2 linked regions of the Rhinolophus ferrumequinum genome follow. The protein of the gene in region 1 interacts with the protein of each later gene in a pairwise test. Links are inferred from orthologs where the notes say so. Each region holds a gene or a part of one and is shown on either strand. Other genes may lie near its edges.

The links.
Region 2: the proteins of CCDC184 (region 1) and PBLD interact in binary tests that used the Homo sapiens proteins (3 or more experiments, as listed by UniProt). The two-hybrid records come from large-scale screens. The link is inferred for Rhinolophus ferrumequinum from reciprocal best matches to the Homo sapiens genes CCDC184 and PBLD.

What each region holds. Positions count from the first base shown.
Region 1 is NC_046293.1:49,613,055-49,623,704, reverse strand, and holds CCDC184 (coiled-coil domain-containing protein 184), read right to left. Parts: upstream 4,944-10,650; 5' UTR 4,414-4,943; coding exon 3,823-4,413; 3' UTR 2,592-3,822; downstream 1-2,591.
Region 2 is NC_046299.1:46,945,237-46,956,181, reverse strand, and holds the start of PBLD (phenazine biosynthesis-like domain-containing protein), read left to right. Parts: upstream 1-6,281; 5' UTR 6,282-6,420; intron 6,421-6,950; exon of another isoform or gene 6,951-7,152; intron 7,153-10,945. Other genes in the region: HNRNPH3 (heterogeneous nuclear ribonucleoprotein H3), read right to left, coding at 119-205, 635-819, 1,331-1,469, 1,981-2,092.

The sequences.
Region 1 (10,650 bases):
AGAGCTGCGATGAATTACATGCAATGTTGTGTGGGGCCCAGATGTGAAGCGCAGCACAAAGCTACGGAGGGGACCATTTCCTCAGCTCTGTGTAGCAGTCGTGCCCTTGCAGATTCTAAGTATTATTATATTCTTAGCACATTCTAATGGATACCAGTATAATTTGGATTTGTTGAGTAGGTGGGGAGTAATCAGACGCATGTGAAGAGCTCCATTCAGTGTAGGAAGTACCCTGGAGGTCCCAGGAAGCAAGGGTGTATTGCCAGTTCAATATAGTACCAGTTCAGGCAGGATCTTTTCTTCTTTGGTGTTTTTCAAGTTAAAAAGTCTCATTACTCTTTGGCTCAGTGATTCTTTTTGACTTAATTCTTACCTTTAAGAATTAAGTTGAAATAACAGACCTTTTCTCTAGACAATGTACATACTTACATGATTTTTGCATTCAATTTCAAGGGGCTATGGCCCCTGAACTCCCATCATGTCCCAGGTTAGGAATCTCATCTGAAACTCACTCATCAGGAGCATTCCAAAGGAGAAATGCAAGAGGAGAGTGGGGAATAGGGAGGAAGGAGGAGGTGGGAGACTAATCTGTGTTGCATCCCTGTGAGATGCTGGTGCAGGTCACTGAAGGAAGGTGAAGAATTGCTTTTATTGGGGAGATATTTTTTATCTATCTGGACTTAGAAGGAATAGGTGGAAGACTTCTAGGAGGCAGGGCTAAGGGACTGATGACACATTTAGGACAGTTGGCATAGGAAGGGGAACCAAAATAGAGTCAAGGCTTCAAGGGTTCAACCAGACCTTTCTACAGAGGCTAAAAGGGCTACACTGCTTTGGGATTCACATCAGCCTCTGCAGAATGTGAGCTATAGGGAACGGGAAAGAACAAGAATGGAGCTGTGTCAGGGAGTATCTGGGAACATCGGCTTCTTCCTCGCAAGGAGCAGGTCCAGAAGACCATCTTCTTGGTGCCATTCTTGTATTGCCATCCACTGGTATCTGAGAAGGGTCACCAAAACCTGAATTGCAATTTCTTGTTCCAATTGAGAAGATAAAAAAGTGACTGAAAGTAATGTTATTTCCTTTTCAGGACTCTTAGACTCTTGATTGGGGAATAAGGGACTTTCTTCTCTGAAGATCCAAATAAAAGAGCAATTAGTAGAATGGCTCCCATCAAGGGTTCTTTAAGTCAGAAGACCTGGGTTTAAGTTCTGCCAACTACTAGCTGTGTGACCTTGAGCAAGTCTTGGAATCTGTTTCTGGAACTGTTAAGTGAAAATAATAGTACCTACTTTGTATGGTTGTTGGGAGACAATATTGGGCACGGTGTCTGGCACATAGTAAGTGCTCAATAAATGATAGCTACTATTGTTGATATTGGTGCTGAATACTGGAACCATAATAGGAACCTATCTCCTAGCCACTTCCAGGGACACATCCCCACTAATATGCTTTAGTTGCCCTCTCTAGGGCCCCAGCCCACATTCCCCAACCGCTCTACAACTCAAAGCTTCCTCTGGTCATACTACCTGTACAGGGCTGGCCCCCAAGACCTTTTTGGCCCATAACTGCATGACATTTATGATGAAAAGACTCATTTCAGCTTGGGAATCTCATCATCCCCCTTTACTTGATTATTCTGAAGGATAAAAGTTCTTTAGATAGGGAAGGATTATATAACAAGAGAGTTTCTAGAACCTTCCCTAGGTAGTTTTGTTTTCCCAGAAGAGCAGTCATCACCATCACACCTCCCGACCCCCACCAAGAAAACTACATATGAGAAAACTAACATTTGCACAAGACTTCCCAGGGGCCTTAGATAATTTTCTCCCCTACAACTTTTTGTCCCCATTTTACACATACAGAAACTAAGTCTCAAGAAGTCAGTCAGTGTTGGAACTGAGATTCTTTGACTCCAATGCTCTTTTCACTTCTCTGCAGCAACCAGCAGCAAACACACACACGCGCACACACACACACACACACAGCATCCTATTTCATTCTTCTCCCAAATTTTGTTTGGGATAGCCTTGGGAAATCTCCAACGCCCAAGGGAGCTGACTACAGCTGATGTCAGTCTAAGCTCCCTGGGGAACACCTTACCGGCATTCTCCACTAGAGGCCTGAGGCAGTTATTGCGGTTTCCTTTATGATGTGTCACTCTGCCCAGAGATCCCCGGCAAAACCTCCCGAACAATACCCTCTCCGGAAACCTCCCAGGAAACAGGTGTCATGCCTGCCATTCCAGGACTCAGATTTGGAAATCATGTATCAGGGGCCAGGTGCTTCACTTGAAAAGAAGTCTCTTGTACATCTGGAGTTCTGGCTACTAAAAACCCTTGTTAATTTGGGAGTCTCAACACGTACCCTTTCTTTTCCCAGTCCAGCTGGAAGTCAAGGTCCAGGATGGAAGGGAAAGCAGATAGAGTTGGCAAGGACTGTCCAAACCAGGGCAGGGATGGTCAACTCCTTGGAACTGGAGGCAAGGAGAGAGGAGGGAAGGCATGGTCCCTGTGGTTCCCTCTAAGTCCTGGTCCATGCAACGGGCCCAGAAGCCCGACACTGACATCGCCCTAGGACCAGTCAGCAAGGAGGGGAGATGACACCTCTTTATTAAGATTAATACCAAGGAAAGCATTCAGAAGGAATACACAGAGGAGGAGGAAGGGCACACAAAGTCACCAATTGAGGAGATGGGAGGGAGGCACATCAGTTAAGAACCTCAGGACAGCCACATGCTCCATGCCCTGGTTGTGGGGGAAAAGAGGAAAGGAGAGGGGAAAGCGCCATGATAGCCAGGGGCTCACAGAAGGGTCTGAAGCCCCCTGAACCTAACACCAGAGCCACAAGCCCTGCCCCTAAGGGCTCACACACTACTACACAAGTCAACACACGTAACACACACAAGACATGGAGGCAACACCGAGAGGCAGCAGGCAGGGGACATATTGACAGGAAAGGAACTGAAGTTAAGCGGGTGTAGCCAGGAGAGAGACAGTTTTTGGCTGCAGCTCCCAAGAGTCCCTCAAATGTCCCCTAAATCTGGGCTGTTGCTGAGCACCCCAAGTCTCTGCCTGTGAACTGGGCTCTTTGTTCTCTAAGCCCCAGTGAGTGGATAAAGCAATTCCAGATGAAGTCAGTGGCAAGGCAGGATCCGTTCTGCATGCAAAATCCTAGAGGTCGACCTATTATGTCTTCATGCACATTCACAGCCAGCTCCTCCCAGCCCGGGGGCCCTGGGAACCCCATTCTCTCAGATTCCTAGGGCTGCAGTTCCCTCCTCAAGCTTTCTTTACCAATCAGCAGCCGCAGAGATCTGTGAGGGGGAGAGGCTTCTGTAGAGCGCTGAATATCTTGGATTTCAGCAGAAGGGTAAATTTTCTGTTGCCAGAACAGAATACCCCAATTCCTTAATTTCTAGGTAAATCGTTAGAGACTATTTGCCATAGTCCTAGAAAAGTCCTTTTTCATAATAGAAAAAGCAGAATTTTATTTACACAATTCAGGGGTTCTCCTGTTGGCTGGGCAGGGGGAAAGGAAGGGTAGAGGATGGATGGGAGAGTCCAGAGATGGGCGCTTCCTCTCCGGGAACCTCACCTTTCCGCAGTTTGCTACGTCTCGCATGGTTAGGCAGAAAGAATTCTTGATGCTCCCAAAAAGTCCTTCACCCTATCGATCTTTCCTCCAGGGAGTCTCTCTCTGCCTGACCCACAAGAGCAGCGATCGGAGTGAAGCGTGCTGCACCGCGCTGTTGAGTCCGCTGGCGTCATGCACTCGGAAACCCAAAGCCAGCCCGGGAAAGTAGTGCCCCTCGGAGTCCCCTCACAGGGAGGCCTCGCCCTCCAGCTGCAGCAGGGTAATGTCGGGCAGATCGAGGGGCTCCACAAGTGGCCCGGCCCCACCAAGGAGACCAGCACGGGGGCTCTCAAGGCGCTCACAGTGACTAGTGGGTGTGGCGGAGCGGGGCATCTTCTTTTCGTCCTCTTCATCGTCGTCTTCCTCGTCCTCAGGATCTCGACCCAGCAAACCGCTGTCCTCGATTCCAGGAGAAGGGGTCTCTGGTTCTTGCGGGGCTGCCGGAAAGCTCCCCTTGCTGCCGACCACGCCCAGGCCACCCTGGCGGGGCGCCGTGGTCATAATCTGGCACATGGAGACGATGGCCCGCTGATTGGCGCACACGTCGTCCGAGAGCACCTGGATGTGCGAAGCCTGCTCGTCCAGGGCCCCCCGCATCGCCCTCACGTCCTCAAACAGGGCCTGCAGCTGGGCCTTCAGGTGCTCCATGAGTTCCTTCATGCCGCCGTTGTACTCGCCGGAGATCACGTCCCCCACCGCCGGCACGGTGGACACCTCCAGAGGTGCCGGCATTTCGCCGCCGTCCTTGGTCATGATCTCCAGCAGACCGTCCTCCATTGAATGGCAGAAGCGGGCGGTGGCCGCTCTGGGTCCGGTCCAGCCCGGCCTCCAGAGTGGGGGAGGGGCGGGGAGGAGGCGAGGTCCCGGGAGGGACTGGGAGGAGCCGAGGGAAGGGGATGCTCCTGAGAGGGGCGGGGAGCCGACGTGAGGAGACGAGTCCCGGGCAGAGGGTGCGGCAGGATCCGGGGAGGCCCGGAAGAGCCTGCGGGACTAAGACCCGACGAGAGTCCCAGGGCCGGTGTCTCTGCCGCTTGCCCCGGGGCGAAAGTGCCCTCTCCTGCTGCCTCGCCTTCTGGATTGCGCTCGTGTCAGCGCCGCCCTCCCGGAGCCACGAGCAGCAAGTGCCCGCCGATTCCCTGGATCACAGAAGCGTTTGCGAAGGGACCCGGGTCGAGGCCAAGGCCAGCAGCAGGTCCAGCTCGGGACTCCCCCCCGGCCATTAACTGGCAGCGCCTGCAAGTGTGACAGGAGCGGCAGGGGCGGGCTTCCCAGCAGCGCCGCGGATGCTCCCGTTTCCAAGGCGACGCACGGTACGTAAATGACGTGTCTCCATGGCAACCAGGAAGTGGAGAAGAAAAGGGAGGATGGCTGGGAAGCTGCAGTGGGGCTCTGGTGTGTGAGCGAGCGGGTGGGGCGGGAGGGGAGGGTACGCTGCAGTGGCCTCAGCTGAGGCTGGAAAGAGCGTGTGGTTGCAATATTTCTTAGGGAAGCATGAGAGCAGTTTGCTGCATAAACCCCCAGGTCCGGGAGAGGTCATCCCCTCTCCTAGTCTGGGTGCTACACACTGAGCCTACTACCTTGGAAGGATATTCATCTGCCCGCAGTCCTTCTTCAGAGGATTGCGCTAGAGCCGAGTTCTGCTTCTCTGTCCTCCAGCGGTCCGCAGGAAAGCAGAGAGGATACAGCATCCTAGACGAGCTGGGACGCGGCGGCGCCCTGGAGCCGGCCCGGCCGGCCTTGGAGGTGTAGGGGGGAGGACACTCTGGAGGTTTCCGCATCTCTATTCGGCTTCTGCAGTAAATCAGCCCTCTGCGTGTAGATATAGCACAGGAACCGAGAAAGAATGAGATTCCCCCTCCCGTATGAGACCCACCCACTCCTACCCAGGGCACTGGGAATTTTTCCAGGATGATGAGGCAAAGTACTTAAGTTTTGAAAAAGACAGCTCCATAAGAGAAGAGATTTTTGTCTCCTCCGTGCCTTCCATCACCATCAGGGAATCCCCAGTACCTAAAATAGTGCCTGGCACGTAGTAAGTGCTCAATACATTTGTTGAATGAAGAACAAGAACCCTATGTCTTGTTCCCCCATCGGTAACCCTCCAGCCCACACATAGTGGATTTTAGGAGACCTGAACTCAGTTTTGTATCTGCCACTTATTAACTCAGAGACCTTAAATAAGTCGTTTTCCTGATCTGTTAGAGGATTGGACTGGATAATTTATAATGTTATTTCTGAGTAACCCTGTGCATCAGCTCACAGGTGGAAAGGGTGACAGTGTGTGTAAGGATAGCTGCCCCTCCTCAGGCCTGGTGCCCAGGTACAGACCTACACTGAGTGTCTCAACCTTCGTGACAATTCCTTTCCCTACTTAAGGGGCCAAGTGGGAGGGGAGCAGGAGGAAGAAAAATGGGATTTCACATATTTACAGATGACTTCAGACTCAGAAGTAAACAGCACCTGGGTAGCAGCATACTAATATAACCTTAGTCAATTGGAGAGGCCAAATGATCAGAAACCAAAAATGAAGTTCACGAGAAGAAATAAATCTGGGGAGGAGAAAAGAACTGTATCACTCCAGGATGGGGGAAGAGCTAGGTATGAGGGAGTGTTTTGTATCCTGGTGGTTCAAGGTTTCCCTGGTTGTGTACTCTGGTAAGGAAAAGTAGGACTGGCCCAGAGGAACTCTTATGGGCACTAAAGAACTGTTTGGCTTATGCCTGTTTTACTGCTATTAAAATAGAAATAATTGGGAAAATACCCTAAACAGCAGAGTGTTTAAGGCATTGCTGATATAATAAAGTATTGTGCACCCATTAGAAATTTGATTTTCTAAACAAATATATGAACAAATTAAAACCCCTACGGTATTGTATTTTCTAAAACAAATGATCTAATCCTGTTTGCTTGCTCATTCCTTCCTTACTCATTCCACAAACTTGTGGCGCTCTCACCTTGGTTATCTCTCCCACCTTTGTCATGTGCCCTACAGGTTATTCAGAAAGCTCAGGAGAAGACAAAAATGCGTTTCCTTGGCTTCCCTAAGCACAGCTGACTTTACCAAAAAAATCTATACTCTGCTCTAACTAGAAAAGACAGTCGTGACTTGCAGGTCTTTTTGCTTGGGTCTGTTGCTTCACATTTCTTGACCAACACTTGGCATGGACTTGTCGGCTCCTTCACCCTTCAGGTGAGTTCTTGCTTCCATCTACAAGGACTGACCCTGTCCCCAGTATAGGGCCTCCCTCTTAGCCTTCACCTTACATTAAATGTAGCCCCCATATTGTAGGAGCTGGATTATACCATCATACAAGGCCCTTTGCCACTATTGTTGGGGATACCATGTATGTCAAGGTTTTCAGCATAAGATTACATCATGCTCCCAGAGGTGCTGGCAGAAGTCCACTGAGAGTGCCAGGGGTCTGAGCCTAGAGGGAGGGGAAATTATTGGAGAAGCATGAAAGACCCTGGGAAACAAGTGCAGAGATCAAGGGGTGGGGCTGATCCAGTCAAGCTCCAGGTCAGACATTTGAGAGCCAGGGGTGGTGGGAAGTGGGGGAGTGGACAAGTAGCAGAACTTGAAAACATAAGGAGGAAACAATTGGTGCCTCAGATTCAGAACCAGATAATTTTAGGAATTCCATGTGAACATGAGACAGGGAAAATAGGAGAAGGGTTTAGTCTCAGAAAGTAAGGGGGACAGATGCAGAGAGTGAAGTAGAGCCTCAGTTATCTTGCTGGGATACAGGGCTGAGCCCTCTGGACTCCAATTCCCTGGCGTTTGTTGAGTGGGTCCATTCCCAAGGAAAAAGAGGCTGAATGGGTACTCTGGCCATGTCACTAGAGTATTCACATATAAAAAGTATGCCACATAGCAAGAAAAAAAGAAACCCTGCACACTCTTCTTCTGCTTCCCGCCTTTCTCTGTCTTCTGGGAATCACCTAGCTGTTCTGTTCCTTCATTCCAGTCTCATAGGCTAAGGAGGGGAATAGAGTCCATGCTGCATACACAGAAGTCTCCACATAGGTACACTTAGTCCCAAACGTCACATTCTCTCTAAAATTGTGATTCTCAGTAGTTCTGCCAGTTTTCTCTAGCTGTTGTGTAGTTTATCTCCAGTCTCTATATAGCTGGTATACTTTTGGCATTATAAATCTAACAGTCATGGTGAAGACGCTTGCTCTGTTCCTCTAGATCTAGAATAACTGTTTCATCCTTAAGTCCACAATCACCGATATGTCTCCCCAAATTCAACTTTTATGAAGCTGAGTTGCCTTGTGGCCCATCTCGGCATGATATCACATTCAAAAGAAACATATCTAATAGCCAAATAGAATTAAAAAGCAATTTATATTTTTTATTATAATCTCTGGGAAAACTCTAAAGGGGTTTAGCATAGAGGAAGACATCTTAAACTTCTCTTCCCTCATCATTCTCTTTATGGCATAGCTGTCTGCCATTCTCTCTCCTTTCTCCCCAAACATCCCCAAACTTTCTCTCAAGCATGGCCCTTGCTTTTTCACTGCCTGCCCCCCTTCACTTCTTGGATGGATCCTTTTTCTCTTCTACAAGAAGAAACTCCTTGTTTCAGCTCCTTTGATTCTGTCCCCCCTTCCCCTCATCTGCACAGATGTCAGGAGCCCCAGCTGTCAATGACAGGGGTCCCTTCCTAGAGGGTAAGAAATATTGAGAGGCTAAGAATACTGGTATTGTTGCAGGTTTTGTCTGTCACATATTAGACTAAATTTTATCAGCCTGGGAGGGAGGTTTGCCTCTCATGGGGGTTTGCCACCCTTCTTTGCTCATCTCCATGCTTATACAGAGAAATTGGCATGGTAGTTTACAAGAACCCTCAAATCTTTTGAGCCTTTGACTGGAGAGGGGTTCCAACTGCCTACTCTCTCAAGAGACTCTAGTGTCATAGACATGGCCACGAGGTCACACACACACACACCCCTTACTTAAGGCCTGAGTTACTAGACTTCTAGTTGCTTGCTGTGTGCCCTCAAACTACTTTTAGGAGTCCTAAAGGACAGACCCCCATGTCACCCCCATTCCTTTCTCTTCCATATTAACTACTCAGCAAGAATTCCAGGAGACCTTCTAACCTCTCCTGTAGTCTGAATTTCCACCTGTCATTCCAAATAACCTGTCGTTCCAATTAGACCTGTTTTTCTGGTGTTCACCCTGTCTTCCCTTTCTGCATTGCCCACTGCAACAGCTTCTTGTGTCAACACTTGCGGGGGCTTTTTCCCACTTTTAGTGCACATTCAGTCCTTTATCCTGTTCCACTCTGACATGACTAGTCCCAGTCTAGGTTGTGCTGGGTAGTTGGCCACGCTCACACAGGCATTCAGAGCCCTGGTGCAGGGCCTCATGCACCCTCCATCCTCTCCATATATTTTCTGCCCCCAGAAAGTTGCCAACAGCTCAGGGCCTGGTTTGGCTCCAAGTCAGACTCCTCATCAGGCTGTGATAGTGCTGTACCCCCTGAGGACACTCACAATTTCTGTTGTTATGGGACAATTTTGCTTGACAAATTGCCTCTTCCCAAGTATCAGTTCAATTTAGAGGAAGTATCTGGGCGGGATATGGACTGTGGTATGCCTGCCACACACTTCTCTTCCATTTAAAAGAATTTTTAGAAATGTAGTGTCCCTCAGTTCTGACTACGTAAGCTTCCAGACCCTTCTCACCTGTCATATCTTGAGGAAGTCTGTGGTATTCTAGCGTAGAAATTCATACAAAATTTTCTTGGTCTCACTCTTACTAATACAGCTAGTTATGCTCTCTCCATACCTCCTAGAGGCCCTAAAAATACCATCCAAAATGGTTTCTATCACTTCCCCTTTGCTGTGAGGTGCTATCCTAAGGCCAGCAAGGCATTGTTAGTTGCAGTTTCGCAGCCACTGTGACGGTGCGCTGTGGTTCTATTCCACACGCACAAATGGGAACTACCCTGGTATTCATGGTGTATCATGGACAGGGCCCCCAACAGTAATCCAGATCTTCCAAATACTGCAGCGTACTGAGGAGAAGGGCCCTTCCCTCCAACTTTTTCACCCAGACCATAAAGCCCGTGTTTTAACAAGTCTTGCATGAAAACAGCTCCTCCATCTTCTGTGGTCAACCATGTATTCACAGGTTATAGGCACAGTACCTGCTTTGTTTTTTGTTTGTTGTAAGGCAAAAGGAAAGTCCCTTTACTTTTCTTTATTCTTCTCCCCAGCAGTTATCAACATCTGTTATACAGTATTTTTACTCTTTGTTTGTTTATTGTCTTTCACTTCCAACTGGGGTATAAGATCTGTTATGACGGGGGGTTGGTTTTGTTCACTGCCATCTCCAGCACCTAGGATAGCACCTGGCGCAATGACTCAATAAATATTTGTTGACTCAAGGAATGAATGAAGCCTGAATCCACACCTGGACAAAGAAACATCTTCCTTAAGGACATGTAGTCTGCAGACCTCCATCTCTGTCTTACCTTAGAGAGCAGTTCAGCTTCTTTAATTTTGACCATCTACTTTGATGATTTACGGTTTATGTTCACACAATTTCATGGCCCTTTCAGTGGCTTTTTTTGAACAAAGAAATACTATAAGACACATGAAAGTCTCCATCTCTTGCAAAATAGAAAAGTGCTTGCAGCTTTGAAATGAGAGTTATCATCTACCTACCCACTCGGTCCCCCAGCAGCATATTCTACCACTATTCCCATCAGTCTCAAAGATACTGGGGCCAAGTTTTAGTCAGAAGTCAAGGTCAGGGGACTGCATGCGCTCCCCTCCCCTCAATATTGTTTGAGAATAGGATGCTGCTAAGTCTGTATTCCCATCCTGTATGTCAAGGAGAACTCCTGACTTATACTCTTATTCTACTAGAGACAAGCTCAAAAAATGTACCCTGCTACTACTGTTTATAAGATTGTTAGCTAACGAAGAAGAGACAATATAAATAGAAGTGTTACTGCACTTCAAAGAGAGTGTTTCTCTTCCCTTTGGGTTCCTGAA
Region 2 (10,945 bases), on another chromosome or scaffold:
TAGGAATGTATTAAAAGATGCCTGAGTTGACTTTATATAAATCACTTATATTACCACTAGGTAGTTGTAAAGCAAATACTTAAATTGAAAATGAGTATGTCTTTAATATTTAGTTTACCTCTTCCATCTCTCATTCTGTCATCAAAGCCATCATTTCCATAGCCATAATTATTATAGCCACCATAGTCATCAAAACCTCCATAACCTGCATAAGTTGAGAAATACACGAATACACTTTAAAGAGATACATTTTATAATCTAGTTTACAAAAGCATACTTTGTGATAAGCAGTCTGGTCAAATTATTAATTATCACAAGTTTACAACGCCCAACGTGAAAAAAAAGCAGTTAACACTTGGTGGAAATTAAAATCACAAAAAGATACACTTTGATATCAAAATTTTCACCTATGCCAAACAGAAAAATGTCAAAATTTTAATTCCTGTATACATTATCTAGGTGCTTATATGTGCATCAATCAAGTCCCACAGCTGGCCATGGGAATTTGTATTTTCATGAACAGGTTTTAAAACCTAGTAGGTACTGAAATTACTGCCATTTCTATATTTCTTGACAAAGTGTCAGGAATATTAAGAAAATGACAACAGAACCTTTGTTCATTAGATACACATACCACCATCATATCCATCACCTCCTCGTCGCATTCTGTCATACATACTTCCACGCCCAGCTCCATAATAACCCCCTCTTCCTCCTATTGGTCTATCATATGGTCCCGGTCGCTGGCCCAGCAATCTTCTTGGTGGATCATATAATCCTCTGATTTCACTCCTGTTACTTCTGAAGATCTCAATATACCTATTTAAAAATGGTTTAAGGTATAGGTTTCAGCTTAAATGTATTAGAGTAACTAAGATATCGGGCAAAATGCAGTAAGTTTTTCTATATCTAGATACATAAGCCAATTTAAATTGCCTAAATACACCATAAAGTTAACATTTTAACATCTACAAACTTAAATAATACTTAAGTTTACATAGACAAATTAGTCATTTGAAAACAATTTATAATATAAATATAATTTTAACTTGTTTCCTTTAGTACATGATAGGAGTTTAGAAAAAAGTTGATTATACAAAAACATTTATCAACATCCTACAGAAAATGGAAACAATCTAATTTTAATTTAAGCCAACTATTAGCATTAATTCCCCACCCAAATCTGTAGTTTCCAAGTTAAATTTAGATAATTATCAATTCTTTTAAACTACCCCAGAAAAATGTTACTGTTACCCCCCCATTTAAGCAATAGTGACCCACAACCCCCAAAAATAAAAATTTAACACCATCCCAAACTCTCCATCCCCACCTGTGCCCTATTCTTTCCTTGTGTTTCCCCAGAGCATTTTCTGCTATCTCCTTTGAAGCAAACTGCACGAAGGCCTCCCCTGTGCTTCTCCCCTGGTAGTCCATCGTCAATGTTATCCCATTTGGCACGATTTCCAACCCTTTAACCCAAGGACAAATAACCCCATCAAGGGGAACAGTGTTAAAGGCTGAAACATTCCCATCTGAATCAAATATTTAAAACAAGTCTAAACAAAACAAACAAAAAAAAGCTTAGTTCCCCATCACCCCATAATACAAATGGAAGATTTTTCAAATATTACTGGATTACATAAATTTTTTTGTGACCAGTGTCTTTTAAAATTATACACATACGCTAAAAGCCCACCTATATTAAAAGAAAAAAAAAGCTCGAATCAAATTTATGCTCCATATGCTAATTCATGGTTCATTTTATCACACATTACTCTCAAGTTTATTGCACATTAGTTTTTACATTTTCTACACATTCTGTATTGAATATTAACTGGAGCACATCCCACAACTTAATACATTAACCAATATATACCCAAATTAAAAAGTCCCCCAAATAAATGGGTTTTACAAATTAAAAACTGAGTAATATAATGTAAAATTAAAATACTACTAAACTTTGACTAATACTAGAGGTACCTTGAAAGAACTGAACTATTTCCTCTTTGCTGCAACCAAATGGCAGTCCACGAAGTCGTACTGTCCCATCACTAGCGTCATTTGGACCATTATGTTTCATAACCCAATCCATCTCAATACCGTTTGATTTAAATGCTATAAAAAATAAACAAGCACATAAAGCAGTCAATCAAAATATACTCTTGTCAGAGGTACTGAAGAAACACCTCTCAGTGATGCATAACAGGAAATACAACATACAACTCAGTGACACTCCGGCGACAATGCCACAATACAACAGTACAACAGCTTTCTGTTTTGGTGGGGTAAGCAAAAAGACTGGGGAAAGGCTGTGAAACCTAACCCTCCCACCAAAAAGTACTGAACTGAATTTCTAAGGGTCAAATATTATATGTTGCCTAATTTTAAGATAGCTTACATAATTTCACTATCAGTCTTCAAATGTTCCCTATTGCTTGACTGTCATTTAATGTCAACTTTGCCTCTTCCTCCTCTCTCAAAATTTTAATTTTCCAGGTTTTATTATTCACTTGAATAGTTCGTTCTGCAAATTCTTTAAAACTTCATTACTCAAAAGTTGCACATAGTACCACTATCCATTCACAGTAAGAGCCTAAGTTAAAAGTACGAGTATGCTATGATGTTGGAAAAATGGCATTACAAAAGCCTAAATTTATTAGATGCACTATAATTCTGAACATATCAAATTGTTTTTGAAGGGGGAAAAATTCGTATCTCTATTTTAATTAAATCTAGTTTAAACACTCCTCAAGAGCAAGTTTTAAAATGCCTGAATTAGGCTGGATTTGAAAACTGAGGTAACAATACCACTCAAAGATGAATGCCTTCCAACAGTATCAGTGTTTTTTTGAGGCCACCTGTTTTGGAAGTTATTGAAGATAGTGTATTAAATCCCAATTTACTCACTGCTTTACTTTTAAACACAAATTAAAAAAAAATACATTCACATTCAGAAAGTATCAAAAAGGGTACAGTAAGAAGCCCTTTCCTTTCAAAAAGAACCCATCCACCCAGTCTCCTTCCCAAGACAACCATCCTTTCTTTTCAACTTCCAGAACACTATAAAAGAGGCTAATGCAGAAGTCCTTCAGCTGCAGAAACTTACCAGACCTTACAAATTTCACTGTGCAGCTACAAGGAATCCTACTCACCTGAATATTTCAAACCTTTCCCTCACCACCACCTCCCCTGTAAACAAAACAATTTGTTCAACTTCATTCCTTTATTTATGCTCAAGGATTATATTTTGTGTCAACAGTATTCACTAATATTTAATTTCAGTTAAGTATGATCTAATTATCAGTGCAACTGTTAGGGGCAGCATCTGCAAAGAGTAAAATTTCTTTTTCCTAGAATCTACGCAGTTAAAATAAGCTAATGTAGACATTTTCAAATGTGGTTATTAATCAAACATCTCTGCATATAAATCACCACCCCTGGGACCTGTTGTTTTTTAAAGCCAGTATCCTAGGTGCCACTCTAGACACACCCAAAATGGGAAGAATAGAAATTTTTATCTGACATTACATCTAATTCTTATGCACACAAATAACTGGTATGAACTTTTTAAGATAAAAGAAACACTGGGTTTGAATCCCTAGTCTGTCACTCACTGGCTACTTAATTTTCAGCAAACTGCTTAACCCGTGTCTAACTGTAAAATAAAGCAGTGGTCTGAGACAGGACGACCATTCAATGGTGGCCAGTGTTACTGGATTTGAAGAGGCTTGGTGGAACGAATGAAATGTACCACAAACAAAATAACTGAACCTTAAAGGATAGAAATGTACCCAGTCTTCAAAGGAGTAAGAACTGTTTGTTACAAGTCTTTTCCAAAGTCAACAAAGGCTTTACATTTTCATGTTTCCTTAGAAATCATCTAAAGCAGAGAAAAAAAGCCAGGGTTTTGGGAAATGTTTACTACAACATGTTAGGCTAGATGATTTTAAAACACTGTTCTAATATAGCAGCCCTGAAAGAAGAGGGCCGCTAATCTGTTTAGGGAAAAAAGTTGAGACATTATGAAGACCTACCATTTTCTTTTAATAAACAAACAAACTTTTCAAAAAAATAGCACCGATTTAAATAACAGCCATTTCCTATAAAGGGTGATTTAAGAGAAGAGGGAGAGAGTATCCAACGTCACATGTTAATTTCTCATGAAAAATGTAAGAACTTTGCAAAGTCAATCTAAACTGTTGTGAAAAGATGTTAGTGTGTTGCTTTTTATCATTTAGCACTTTTTTTTTCAATGTAAAGCTACTGTTTTGGGGGAACACACACAAAAAATGGAAATCGACTTATCCATACTACAAATCTTAGCACTTTCCAACAAACACTAGCAAGAAAACTAGTTTTGATTTTTTTGATCAGCCCATACCAATGAGACCGATATAAAAACAAGTAAAGTACTATGTCTAAAAACAAAAACAGAGACATACACACTAAACTGTTTTAAATTAGGGAAAAGTTAAATTTTAAATTTGGGAAAAGTTAACCAGATTCGGAAGAAACTTTTATAGGGCAAGTCTCCTTCCTATGTGCATGTAGAGTACAAAATAAAAAAAGACATACTATTTTCTCTTCAAAATTCAATGTTAGAGTCTAAAATTTTACTTACAAAACAAAAACCATACAAAAAGACAATCTGCTTTAGTACCTTCATAAAGTTGTCTCAAAAACTACCTAAGTTTTTACTAATTTAGAGTCCATCTCAATTCTGCTTTTAAGAATGACAAGTGTTTAAAAATAAAAAAATCACAAAAAAAGCACCAATTAAAAACACCATCAGTGGAAATATTAGGATAACTGTAGTCAGTTTTGTAATTTTCTAAACATTATGCTGAGACACCAGCCACAAAAGAACACATAGGCCTACTGTATGGTTTTAAATGTATTAAGTTTGTTATGCAAATTTTATCTCAAAGCTGTTAAGAAAATGCACCTAACAAAGGCCAATGAAATACAAAATATCTTTACAAGAGATTATAGTGTCTTCCAAGGTATAATACTTAAAAGGGTTTGATGCATCCACAAGTAACTTTCTAAATGGTAGCCCACTGGTCCTAAAACATGAGCATGAACTTCAAATTTTGGCAGAAAAGTGGTGATGTTTAACTGAAATGGTTTTTCATCATTTCCCCCTTCCAATGTGCTTGCTCAATTTTGAATTAAAAAAGACTAATCACTTTTTTAATCGCTAATACTTAAAGGTGAGGTCACGAAAAATGAGTTTTTTTCTAGAAGAAAGTTACCATCTATTACAGTTCAGCAGCTTGTTCATCAAAATGAGGATACCAAAAAAGAGCATGGTTATTAAAAATACAAAGGCAATTAGATGGATTTCCAGATTCTGATGCAGATGAGGGCAGAAAATTTCTAGGACAATCCAATTAGGAAAGCTGTTATATCATATACTACTTTATAGGATAACTCTGGGCTGTCTTTTCAAAGTCCACTAAAATCATAAAACATCTTCAATAAGAATGTTTTTGTTTTTAAAGCTGGAAAAGTAGAAAATAGACTTCTTGTAAAGACCCATATGCATTATGGGAAACTCTTCTCATGTCTTGCCAGTCCTTTTTGTACCGTGAAAATCACCTAGCCAGTTCTCCTGTGTTATAAGGACCAAAAATCATGGCAACCACATGACTTGGATTTGTTTTTCTATTGAGTAGGTGTATTTTCTTGGTCAAAATATTACTATAGTCCTATACTAATGCCAACAGTCTTCGCACAAAATACAACTCTTGCAGATTTAAGTCAGTAACTCAGCGCGCACACACACACACCCTTTGCCATTACTGGTTGTGTTTTAACCGTTTCTCAAATGTAAAAACTGCTTAAGTTCTAACCCAGTACGTGCCAAAACTACACAAAAATCATTGCTAAACCATTCCACCCCCGCCCAAAAGTTCAGTAAGCCGTATCATAGTCACAGTTCACTGGGCCCAGACGACCTATTTGAAACATGCCCATTTCACATTCCTATTTTATAAGTCACCCACTTTTCTGCTTACAAAACAATTACCCACAAAGTCTTTACGTTTAAGATAAGCATGAAAAAAAACCCTTCGGAAAATGAGTACGTACTCTTTTCGAAGTTCCGAATCTGGAATATAAGGGCCAGATAAGCGTCCTTTATTCCTCCCCGGAGACTTTTCGTTTATCTAGCTGCCCTAGAGACCAGAAAGCTAGGGAGAGTACTCCCCTTTCCCCCCCCGCCCCCCGTCCGGCAGCCAAGCCTGGCTTAAAATCCTTCGCCACCGGGCGGCGGAATTACAAAGGAGACCGTCTGCCTCCTTTGTCCTGGATTTGGGAGTTGAGCGCCTTCGTCGCCATTGGCTTTCCTCCCCCAGCTCCAGCCTCTCTCATCTTGAGAATCTGCGTCAGAAGTCACTCGCAGTCCCGCCAGCCCAGGTAGCCCATCCGAGACTGCGGAGGAAGGGAGGCCGCGGTGGGAGGCCAGGCCCATCCCGCGCCATTTCCAACGGGAACGCGCCCGCCTGCCCAGGTCCTCCCCCCACCCAACTGCCCGGCCTTTCCCTGCTTGTTTCGTCCCCCACCTTCACCCCTCCAGGGCGCTGTGACCACCCTTTGGCCTTCTAAATCAGTTTTCGGAAGCTGAGGGGCAGAAAGTAGAGAGAGAGAGGAAGGGCGGGAAGCCGAGGTGGCCGCGCCACCGTACCCAAAATGGCGGAGGCCAAACCAGCAGGGAGAGGGGAAATGCTGGATGACCCCCACTTCAGGCCTCGGCTTCGTCCACTGAAGTCCACCTGAGCAAGTCCTCCCACCCCCCGGCATGCCGCCCTCCTTGAAGTGGGAGATCGCCTGGGAGGCGCAGCCTGGCCTCTTCCGAGCGGCGACCTCCACACTTCACCCCCACAGCACCCCCTCCCCGTCTCTTTCGTCCTCCCGACTCCGCTCTCGAAACCACCAGCCCAACCTACCCCCTTTTACTTCAGATACCCTGTCGAACGACAACAGCGCCGATTCCGGGACTCGCGATGTCCGATCGTGAGGAAGAAGTCGCTTGCCTACTGGAGCGCTCCCCACAACGGTTCTTCCAACCGTCTCCGGCGGAGGCAACCGCTATGGGAGCTGCGCAGCAGAGCGACTGGCTTGGGGGGATGGGAAAGCGCGAACGAGGAGGGGGTGGGCGGAGCGAGAGCAACGAAGATGGTCCGGCCCCGTGCTCGCGAGATCAGAGAGTTGGTCCCGCTTTGGCGCGGGCAGCAAGTAGTACGCTTGCGCACTGGTAGGCTGGACCACTGTTGGAGGGGAGGTGTCGAGGGCTGCCCAGTTAGAGAAAGGGGCGGAGACTTCGCCCTTCCTGCTTACCGTACAACCAGCAAGTTCTCAGAGTCCACCTTTCTGCCCTCTCCCGGACGATAAGTGGCGGTCGTAGTCTTGCCAACGTGTGTTGAAGGAACCGTGGTGTCGCAGTTTGAAAAAGTTCTCTGGTACTCTGCCCCACCAAGAACAAATTCCATAAAGGCCCCGCCCGTATCCTAGCGTCGTCTGCGTGGAAAAGGCGCCACGTGGTTCGGCTGCCAAATGCAGGGAGGGTTTTTCTCGTCCACCATGTTTGCATTATGCAGTGAAAATAGGATTATTTCTCCGCTGCGGAGATTCAGAAGTGCTCCCCAGACCCCAATTTCGACTCGAGCTAGGGCTCCAACTTCGTCGGGCCCTGGCGCTTCCGCATCGGGCCCCCCCAGCGGGTTTAGTCTGGGGGGCTTCTTGATTGATTTCCTCCCTGCCACGTTCTTCTACAAATCGCTCCTCGCTTTCTCCTCGCCTTTGCGCTCTCTGTTGCCTTTCATCTTTTCCACTGTGTAACGTCAGTGACCGACCAGTCGTTCACGGCCGACTTCGGGTTTTCGAAATAGAGCTTTGCATCCTTGAAAATTGCGTGTACAAGTGACATCTAATACTTTTTGATTGTGCTGTCACCAAGGTTCCTAGTGACACTTTATAGCCTTTTTTTAATTAAAAAAGAATGCAAGCCCAATTTCTGGGAAGAGAGGAGGGCAGTACTGGTAAAGAGATCAATGTAAATTAATATCCAACGTGGGAAGGGAGATACATGAAGTGAGAGGGAGGAAAAGAAATGAGTTTGAACACACTTGTTCCTGTAGGTTGGAAAGGTGGACACAACTAGGTTGTAGACCCTCAATACCCAGCCAAAGACTGGACTTTGTACTACAGCTATTGGGAAGCCCGTTGAGGATGGCGTAGGGGGCGCAGGGTGTGTTAGTGGAGAAGCTTGAACAATTTTTTCCTCCTTAAGATCTGCAATGTGTAAAGACAGGAGGCCGGTTACGTTCAGATAATGGAAACTTCAATTTCATGGCTTTCATTCATTCTCAAATGTGCTTAAGACAAGTGTGGGACAGTGAGAATTGGTTAGGTCATAGTGCTGTACTGCCTTTCTTGAGCCTATTCCTTCAAAATACCCCTCAGAAAAGGGGGAAGGGATGGTGTGGTCATCATTGAAAGAGAGAAAAAAACAGAATAATGTAATAATAGCTGACGTGAATTGACAGCATGCTTGAGCTAAACGCTGTGCTCAATTCGCTGACTCTGTACAACCCTGAAAGATTATTATTATCCCCAATTTACAGATGAGGTACCTGAGTTCTAGATAAGTGAGAAAGTTGCCCAAGGTCACACACCTAGTGGCAGAAGCTAGGATTTGAACCCAAATGAATGGTTTTACTCCAGGGACCAGGGACTTAAAAGAACTAACCTTCCTGGGGTTGCAAATAACTTAACCATGCTAAGGAAACAAACATCATTTTAGGCAAATTGAAGTTACTTCTCCTAATAAACACTAGAGTTGTGATCTCAGGAGACCTTGCTGTTAACAATTTATTGTCTGGAGACATTTGAACAGGCCTGAAACTTGATGTCCTGGTGTCATTGACACTGTGAACAATCCCCCCCCCCCCCCTTTTAAAATAATTTCTGTGTTAGTAAGTCTCCAACCTCCCACACTTCGGATGGAGTTCTTTTCCTCCGTTCAGGTTACATCCCTACGTCATCCTTTCAATCTTTCAACCTGATTTGGTGGATGGAATTCTGTAATGCCTTTCACCCTTTTCCTGAATTCAAACAATCTATTTACTGCCTTGTTGAGGTTTGGCACTGCACATACTTACTTAGTGTGGTATGGACCACAATCCTAAAATCATTCTAATGACTTTTTGCCACCACACCGTGATGTTTTGTTTGTTTTTTTTCTGTGTTATTTTTTGGGGGGGTGGGTATCACAATTTCTTTGTATTGGGCACTCCACTGTTTGCCAGTGTGAATGCTTACAAAGAACTTGAAATTAGTACATATGTTCCTTTTGCTTTTTTATTATTATAGCAAGTAGGAAGCTTTGAGTTTTAAAAAAAGTACACTATATAGGGGTAAACTTAATTTTTATTTGGCTTCCTATTTTACTACTTTTCTCAACAACAACAACAAAAAGTCTATCAACTATTCCTATTTGCAAGTTGAATCCTATCCTGTAAGTAAGCCTTGGTGAACTGGTTTACCACTGCTCCAGTGATCCCTACAGAATTGTTTCCAGATGGATCTCTGTGGAATTGTTTCCATAGAGATGGTTAGAACTAAGGGCTCCCAGCTGCTTTTGGGATTTTTTTTTTTCTCTTTGTCTTTCTTTCAGTCATTTCAGTGCTTTCCTATTGACATAGAGATCAGAGGGACCCTGGAGAGGATCTTGTTAGAGGCCATAATGAGAGAAAAGATGAAAAAGGAGAAAGAAATAGAAGTACCCACATCACCCAGGGGACAACAAGACAAGGAACAGGTGATCGTGTATTACACCATCAACATGAAGAGGAGAGGAAAATTCCATGCAGAGCCTGAAAGTAAAAGAAAGATGTAGAAACTGAAAGAGATTGCGCTTCTGGGAGAGGAAGACACATTAACTAAAAATTGGTTAAGATAGTTGTTCACATACCCTCAATGACATTTGAAAATAACATAAAAAGTGGGTTATCATAATCTTTTTGCCTATATGAAAAGCAAATAAGTTAAACATAACAAAACTTATGCATAAGTTTCTACGAGCATGTCTAATTGGGGTATAGTTAATGCCTTCTGAACACTAAATCTGTCTTACTAACGTTTTGTGAAATGCTTGTTCTTGGATTTATAGCATATATATCTACTGTCTTTAGAAATCAGTGATCTTCCTTGTCATGATTATTTGTCAAAATTAGTTCTCCAAACAAGGCTTAATGAATTACAGTTAACATTCTTAATACTTTGTGTCACATCAGTATTCATTCTGGGACTAGGGTAAACCAAAAGTCTCATCCAATTTTAATAATTATACACTAAATAAGCAAATGGAAACTTAAAAAGAAGGAAGCACTTATCACGCACTCTAATTTTTGAAAATATTAGAAGTATTGAACATTCAAAAAAATGTAAAAGTATTGAACATTCTCTCTGTTCTAGTAGATTGATGAGAGGAACAGAGAAAACAGCTACAAAAGAAAGCTACTTAAGGCATTGAAATCAATTATACTGCTTTTAATGTGTCATAAGCACATTAATAACTTAAAGAACATGGCACAGATAGTAGAGTAACAGACCATTCCCCCCACCCCCACACATGATTTTAAGCTTCTGAGTGGTAGATACAAATATAGGTTTCATTATATATGTGCCTATGCCTCTCAGTGCACAAACAATGATGGTCATGTTGGGGATGGAGGCACTTTAAGTAACTAATTTTCACCACAGTCTAGGAAAGTTATTATGGAGCAAGAAATAGAAGAATCAGGAGATAATGTAATGCTCCATCCAAAGTTTACAAAGAAAATCAATGGTAGAATTTAGAGTTGTCTTCATAATGGGAGTTGGACAGGCCTCCGTTACAACCCCAGTTCTGACACTTATCTACGAGCTGTTTGATTTTGAG